Canis lupus familiaris: one gene and its partner. The protein of the gene in region 1 purifies or fractionates together with the protein of each later gene. This does not show direct contact. Links are inferred from orthologs where the notes say so. Each region holds a gene or a part of one and is shown on either strand. Other genes may lie near its edges.

What was found. The genes of interacting proteins can lie anywhere in the genome.
Region 2: the proteins of HSF1 (region 1) and HNRNPA2B1 purify together in Homo sapiens (affinity purification with mass spectrometry; 3 studies listed by BioGRID, with this or other methods). This does not show direct contact. The link is inferred for Canis lupus familiaris from reciprocal best matches to the Homo sapiens genes HSF1 and HNRNPA2B1.

What each region holds. Positions count from the first base shown.
Region 1 is NC_049234.1:38,476,866-38,480,901, reverse strand, and holds the start of HSF1 (heat shock factor protein 1), read right to left. Parts: upstream 2,817-4,036; 5' UTR 2,690-2,816; coding exon 2,573-2,689; intron 1-2,572. UniProt on the Homo sapiens protein: Functions as a stress-inducible and DNA-binding transcription factor that plays a central role in the transcriptional activation of the heat shock response (HSR), leading to the expression of a large class of molecular chaperones, heat shock proteins (HSPs), that protect cells from cellular insult damage.
Region 2 is NC_049235.1:39,597,797-39,601,746, reverse strand, and holds the start of HNRNPA2B1 (heterogeneous nuclear ribonucleoproteins A2/B1), read left to right. Parts: upstream 1-1,138; 5' UTR 1,139-1,373; coding exon 1,374-1,379; intron 1,380-3,950. UniProt on the Homo sapiens protein: Heterogeneous nuclear ribonucleoprotein (hnRNP) that associates with nascent pre-mRNAs, packaging them into hnRNP particles.

The sequences.
Region 1 (4,036 bases):
TCCCCGTGGGGGTGGGAGGCAAGGGGAACAAGCACAGGCTGTAGGTCAGGAGAGCTGTGGCACACCCTTAGGCTGTGTTCCCGGTGGCCAAGTTCACTCCCTGCAGCAGCAGGAGCTGCAGGGTCGCAGGACCTGGGGGTGGGGGGCAGCTGCATCTCTAAAGACCCTTGTTTATCCACCTCAGACTCCATATTCAGTGCGTCTTTAACTGTAGGAGGATTTGACAGTAGGTCAACACAACTGTACGGGGCAGTGACCTGTGGTCTGTCCGTCATGCTTGGCAAAGGAAGCTCAGTGCTGTCCCAACCTGGCCCCACTGGCGAGGGTTTCTGGGGCTAGACCCCATCCCCCACTGTACTCAGCCTGGAGAGTCAGCCACCACACCTTTGACTGCCTGTTGTCCCCTGGGTCAAACATGGTGAGTTTCTCTTGGTAGAACTGTGAGAAAACTTTCAAAACAAAGGGTGGGGGTGGGGGGCACCAAAACCAAGGACATCAGAGCTTCCCAAGGCCTCTGAGAGTCACACTCTGGGCCAAAATTCTGCAGAAGACACTGTGTGGACTTTTTTGATCAAGGCCACAGGTACAGACCATCTCCTGTCTCTGAGCCAGGCAGCTCGGCAGCCCCCCACCCGGCCTGGAAAGGGCTTCCTTCCACTGCTGAGCTACTGTCTGGCTTCTGTATTCATTGTGAGTGCCAGCCCCTACCACTACGTCTTGCCTGACCTGCATACAGACCAGGAAGGTTCACGTACTCATGCTCAGGCTGGTTCCCCATCCCCCTGCCCCTCGACAAACCCACATAGGCAGCCACTGTAAGCAAAGGCTGTCACAAGCCTGATCATTCCTGTTCAAAGGCCTTGCCCAGGATACGGGCTGTGGGTCCTGGAGAGAAAGCTGGGGACGCTTCACCCACATGCCTCACAATCTTTAATCAGAAAAAGCGGGCAGCCCTGGTGGCGCAGCGGTTTAGCACCGCCTGCAGCTCAAGGTGTGATCCTGGAGACCGGGGATCGAGTCCCACATCAGGCTCCCGGCATGGAGCCTGCTTCTCCCTCTGCCTGTGTCTCTGCATCTCTCTCTCTGTGTGTGTGTCTCTCGTGAATAAATAAAAAATCTTCTAAAAAAAAACTTAAAAAAAAAAATCAGAAAAAGCAAGCAGATTAAAGGGCACCCTAGAAGGTGGGATAAATCACCATAGTAGGATTAGGCTTGGACTATCCCAGGGCATCTCTGATGCCCCTCCTGGATCTGGGTTAAGAGTGTTTCCTTGAAGTTAGAGGAAGGAAAAAGAGGAAGAAGGAAGATAAAGGAAGATACAAATGTGTGGTCACTTCCTTTGGTTAGAAAAATCCGAAGTCTGGAAAGAGGGGATGGCATGCTTCCCCACTTCAGGGTGCTGCCTCTCATCAGGTAGGAAACAGGTAGTGCACTGGGGAATGGAGAGTGCCCACACGCGTATCACTGAAACAGTGTCTCCAATAAGAACATGGCATAATACCTAGTCTCTTTATTTCCCGTCTCTCTCTTTTTTTCTTTTTTTTTTTTAAGATTTTGTTTATTCACTCAAGAGAGACACAGAGAGAGAGAAAGGCAGAGGCAGAGGCAGAGGGAGAAGCAGGCTCCAAGCAGGGAGCCCGACAAGGGATTCGATCCCAGGACCCCGGGGTCACGCCCTGGGCTGAAGGCAGATGTCAAACTGCTGAGCCACCCAGGGATCCCCTATTCCCAGACAATCTTTAGGCAGAGCAGAGCTCGGGCAAACAGACAAGCCAAGACTTAGCTTCGACCTGAACACTTCTTCATTCCTAATGGCTTCAGAGCACGAAAGGGAAGTGCTTAGTAAAGTCAGAAACCCAGCATGTTGGCCCTCGAGGGGTCAAGCATATTTGGAGGCACCCAGAGGCTCTGCGTGACCAGTGTGGCCTCTCTCGGGGTCACCCGTTTGCCGGCCCCGGGGTATGGCTCTGGCCTCCCCGGGACACGACATCACAGCCAGGCTGGGAACAGCAGATTCTGATCTTCAACTCCAGACACACTCTCCAATTTACCTCCGCAAAACCGGAGCTGTCCGGTCTTGCAGGGCCAAACCCTGTAAACAAGCCCGCTGCCAGGCAACTGAAGACAGGGACCTGAATAAAGACGCCCTATGAGGAATGAAAAACAAAGCTGCTCCGGGGAGACCCAGCTCCAGTATCTCTGGCTATGGGTTCGAGATCAACCTGAACTTTGTGACGTTTTACTTTCTGTTTTCGTGGCTCTCCCTTTCGCACCAGAGCGACGACCTCCAGTCCACGCACCGCGTCCTAATTTTCTCCGAAGAGCCGCCGGCCATCCCGCCCTGGAACTCATCTGAGAAAACGGAGAGGGTCCCCTGGGCACGGCGGTGGCCTGCGAGGCCGGGCTCTGTTCTCCGGGCAGACCCACTTCCGCGACGGTCCGACGGGGAGCGAAGGACCTGAGAGGCCTCCCTCCCCGCCGGCGGCCCTCGGCGCGCGGAGCGGCCGACAGCGAGCGCAGGCCCCGGCCCCGCCCCACACCCACCCTCTGGGTACTCGCCCCGGCCCCTCACCGGGCTCCAGCAGATAAGCGCGTCGGTGTCCGGGTCGCTCACGAGGGTCCACAGCTTGGTCAGGAAGGCCGGGACGTTGCTGGGCCCCGCCGCGCCGGGGCCCACGGGCAGATCCATGCCGGGCAAGGCGGGGAGAGGCAGAAGTGACGACCGCGAAACGGGACCGAGGGCCGGGCTAGCGCCGCCGCCGCGCCTGTCGCCGGGGCAGCGCCGCCGCCGCCGCCCGCTGCGCACACACGGCCCCGCGGCCTAGCATGGCCGCCGCCATCTTGCGACGCGCGCGCTCCCGCCGGCGCCGCCCGTTCGCGTCACCCTGGCGCGCGCACGCCGGCCCCGCCCCGTCTCCGACCGCCGCGCGCCTGCGCGTGCTGGCCCCGCCCCACCGTCAGGCCGGGAGGGGAGGGGCCGGCCCCGCCCCTCGCCCCCGCAGACCCCGCCCCCAGCCCCACGCGGCCCGCGCTGCCGGAAGTGGCGGTGCGGGTCGTGACCGGCTGGGCAGCATGGCGGGCGCTCGGGGCGCGGGCGGTGCGGCGGCGGCGACGGGGGCTCGACCCGGGAAGCGGCCGGGGGGGCCCGAGGCGGCGCCGGAGCCAGAGGAGGTGACGCGGGAGCGGGCCCGGGCGGCGGGGCTCGGGCGGCGGGGCCCGGGGCCGCACGTGGTGGCGAGTCGGCCCACGGCGCGCGGCGGGCCCGGGATCGGGAGGAAGAAGGGCTCCGGGTCCTGCGCGTCCGCGGCGGTGGGGCGGGGGGCGGGCGGCCTCCGGGGGGTCGACGTATTGAGGCGCTGCAGCGCGTCAGCCGTGTTCCGTACGCGTAGGGCGCCGTGGAGGCCGGGCTCCCGGCGCTGGACGCGTGGCCTGCGGGGGCTGTCAGTCCGTCCGGGTCCAGAGTCCCGGGAGCACGTGCGGCTCCGCGCCGCGTCCCCCTCCCTCAGTGTACCCCGGGTAGTCCCTCCCCCGGGCGTCCCCCTCCCCCCAGTGTCCCCCGGGTGTCCCTCTCCCCCAGTGTCCCCTGGGTGTCTCTCCCCCTGGGCGTCCCTCTCCCGGGTGTCTCCCCGCCCCCTGGTGTACCCCGTCCCCTGGTGTCCCCGGGTGTCCCCTCCCCCGATGTCCCCCCTCCCCCAGGTGTCCTTCCCCCAGGTGTCCCCCTCCCCCTGATGTCCCCCTCCCCCTGGGGCCCCCCTCCCCGGGTGTCCCCCTCCCCCAGGGGTCCCCCTCCCTCGGGTGCCGCCTGTGGCAGGTGGCTCCGTGCCCAGGTGACTCTGCCACACGGGGTGGCTTCCTCCCCGCATGGTCTGTTGTGCTTTTATTTGCTGTTGTAGTTGTGTAGCTAAGTATCAGAGATGCGCAGTGTGATTGAGCTGAAATCAGAGTCGTTTCTGTGAAAGCTGTTCTAGGAAAGACTTCTAACGCGGTTCCAGGCTGCCTCCCTGGGTGAGAGCTGTGGACTGTTGAGGAGTGACAG
Region 2 (3,950 bases), on another chromosome or scaffold:
CACCGCCACCGAGGGGACAGAGAGAGAAAGAAAGCCACCGACTTCACCGCCTCCGAGCTGCTCCGGGTCCCGGGTCTGCGGCGTCTCCGGCCCTGCGCGCCTCAAGCTCCAGCCACATCCGAGGGGGAGGGGGCTGGGGCGCTGCGCGACGGGCAGCCGCTGGAGGGAGGGGGGAGGGGAGGCGGTGGTGGCACCGCCCACGCCGGGCGGCCGCGAGGGGCGGGGCGGGGCGGGCGGGCGCGCGCGCCCGGCGGGGGGAGGGGCCGCGCGCCGCGCCCGCCGGGAACCCGAGCCCGGGGGCAGGTGGGAGGCGGCGGCGCGGCACTTACCGTTCGCGGCGTGGCGCCTGGTGGTCCCCGGAGGGGAGGGAGAGGGAAGCAGAGGCGAGGACGGTGGCCGATCTTCTAGACGGAGGCGTTTCTGTTTGGCAGCAGCAGCGCCTGGCGCCAAAACCGGGCTCCGCCCACTTCCTCGCCCCCAGAAGCGGGTGCCTCGGAACGCTAGGGGTGAGGGAGGGAAGACAAACTTGGCGGGGGCAGCCGGGAGCTGAGGGGAGAGGCCGCCTCGCGCCACCCTCTCCAGAGACCTCTCCCGAACCGAAGGGGTCTACTCCCCGGGACGTTGGCCAGGGTCAGCTCGGCGGAGCGTGAAGTACGACGTGTTGACTAGAAGTCGCTTCGGGTGTTTCCGGAAGGGGCCGAGTCAGTCCTGAGCGCGGGGGGCGGGGGGGGGGCGGTTAGGGGAGGAAAGTCCCCGGAGGGAGGCTACAAAGATTGTTCTGGCGGGAGACCCGGGGGCGGGGAGCGGCGCGGATTATCGGAGGCTTAACAGTAGGGACCACCCCCCGGGTTGAGGGGGGCAGGACTTTAGGGCCGTGCGTTAGGCTCCTCCCGGCAGCGTTAATTTCAAACTGCGCGACCGTTTCTCACCTGCTCTGCGCTAAGGCGGGGGCTGGCTCCAATTCCCTGAAAGAAAAATACGCAGCACTCGAGCCTTCCGCGATTCACGGAGGGCACTTGCGCAAGTGACGTCAAGCACCGCTACTGGCTGCCGGGGGGGAGGAGTACGTAGCTGGCGTAAGGAGGGCGTAGAGCGTTCCCGCCATTGGCGGCGGTTAGGGCGTTTACGCAACGGCCTGACGTAGGGGAAGACGCGTTAGTCGGGGGGAAGGTTCTAGAAAAGCGGCGGCAGCGGCACTAGCGGCAGTAGCAGCAGCGCCGGGTCCCGTGTGGAGGTGCTCTTAGCGGTGTTGTTTCTCGAGCAGCGGCAGTTCTCACTACAGCGCCAGGACGAGTCCGGTTCGTGTTCGTCCGCGGAGATCTCTCTCATCTCGCTCGGCTGCGGGAAATCGGGCTGAAGCGACTGAGTCCGCGATGGAGGTAACGGGTTTGAAATCAATGAGTTATTGAAAAGGGCATGGCGAGGCCGTTGGCGCCTCGGTGGAAGTCGGCCGCCCGCCTCCGCCGGAGAGCGGCGGTGAAATTGGGCCGCTTCCAAAGCGGTTCGCCTCAGGATGTTTTTGGAGAGGGTTCGCTGGCCGGGGCCTGATTGAACAGCGTCTTCCCCACCCTTAGCCTGCCGGCGCCATTTCCCTTTGCTGGGGGTGGGGGATGGGGAACTTCCACATGGCGGACGCAGCCCTTCTTCGGCGAAAAGTGGGGCGCGGAGGCGGGAATTCTGACTCCCTCTTGAAAGCACGCTGATTTGGGGGGCCCGGCCTCCCCGCGTTTTGAGCTTTTCGGCGGGCTTCGGCTCCTCCTGAGGGAGGCTGCGGAGCTTCCCCTCCCCCCCTCCCCTCTCCCGGGAACCGGATTTGGCGGCCGCCATTTTCATTCCATTCCTTCCTCGCAGCGTTTTTCTTTTCAACCTCTGGATTCTGCTACTTTGCTTCTTTTATCGAAGAATTAAAGTGGTTAACTATTTTTCTTTCTTTTCGGGCCACTTTCATGCCGTTTCGAGGTGGATTACGAGTGTTTTGTGAGCTTGGATCTTTAAAAGTCCTGCGCACCTCGTTAGAGGCTCTTTCCCTTCCCCTCGATGAAATGGCGCCATTGCGTTCAGAAGCCACACCGAAGAGCGGGCGGGTGGGGGAGTCGGTTCCCCGGGGCTGGTTCGCCCTGTTTAAGAGGAGGTAAAGCCACCCATGGTGTCGGGCCCAGTTTTAAGTCGAGCCGTACCACAAAGACAACATTTCGTCTTCCAACCCCTGTTTTTTGTTTTTTTTTTTTTTTTTTTCCTGAGTAACGGTTTTATCTGGGTCTGTGGTGGTTAAAAAGCTAGTTGAGTCACAGGAAACTTTAAAAATAAAAATTGGGAGCCATTAAGTGAGTACCGATTGTGGGTGGCCGTGGGGAAGGAGGTTTGGGGGAGGGTGTCGGTTTCACAATTTATTTTCCTGAAGGATTTCCTTTTGAATTGTAGGATTTATTTATGTTTTTAAATAGTACTTTTCCTGGGAAAATCTTTACTACCTAAGACTAGAGGTACTGGCGATAAGGTAGAAATGAAAGAGGAAAGTGAAAAATGATTTTTTTTTCCTTTAGTTTGGTTAAAACGTGGCTCAGTCCTTCGTTACGAGAAACGACTGGGCCACCATGTATTTGAACTTTGTCATTTGCTTTTCTCATCTATGTTTGCTATGATGGTTGATGATTACATTGATAAGAATAAGGTCTCGAGCGAACGGGGCCTGATTGGGTATTTTCTTTGACCTTAAGCACACTTATAAAATAACTTTGTTTGTAATCGATAGTGGACATCGGGTAAGTTTGGAAAAAAAATGAGGTAAGTAATGAATTTTGCCTTTTGTTAGTGATGTGTAAAAATTATTGTAAATGTGCAGCTTTTAAAAAATGCGTAATTTGGGTTGTAAAAGACCAAGTTACGCTAATTAAATAAGTTACTTTTAAGTACCAATGTCAGATAATCGTTTAACGGGCTATTTTTGAGTGTTTTAGGAGTTTGATAGGTTTTTTTGACCTTTAAAATTTTTCACGATTTTGGGAACTGTGCAGGGAAGTCTAATTGAATGCTTATCACGTTATTTTTTGAGCTGTTGGGGAAATTTTCATGCATAGAGGAAGAAATCACAACGGAGTTAGCTGTAATACTATTTGCTGATAATTATTTTCTGTTGTATGGAAAGTCATATTTGACCTCTGATTTGTATTATACACTCACTTAGTTGCTTCTAGACGTTATAATTTGTTGTGGTATCTGAATATTTAAAATTTTTAACCTAGGTATGTGAAAGTGTAGCAACCCATTTTTTCTTTTAATGACAGCTGAAAATATAGGGCTGTTGATGTATTTGCTTGGTGGTTTATAGGGCTTAAAATTTTTCAGCCCAGGTTTCCCACACACACACTTGTAAAATCAGAGACATTTGTGCTGTGTAGTTTGCCAGATGGCCTTTAAGGCCAGTACACCTGAGTTTTTGAGGGGGGAGTTTCTTCTTCAATGAAGTGTAAATTGTACAGAACTACTAAGTAGTTAGCAGTGAGCATTTAAAGTTTAACGGTTTTTGATTATAGCAAACATTTTACTGCATTTTATAGTTTAGTGTAATGATCTGTGTTCTGTAAATACCAAATCTAAGCGCCTACCAAAAAGCAGGTATGTTAAATTTTTAAAGCTCCAAATACCCACTGTTGGTCATAAAAACTTTTGTTCCATGGTCAGAAAAAAGGCAGATTTTATATAGATATTTTGGTATATACATTGATAAAAGTTTTCATCATGGAGAGAGTGGGGTATGAAGGGAAAGAATGGTTTTTCTTAGCGGTTTTTTTTTTTAATTGAGATACAATAGAATCACCGCCAGAGGGAGCAATAAAGGGAAAGTAAATGTCACTGTTAAGACACTGAATCCTGATATGGTAAATTACACGCTATAAGTAAAGCAACAGTTTTAATGTTAAACCGTATGTTTATAATGCGTATTTAAAAGC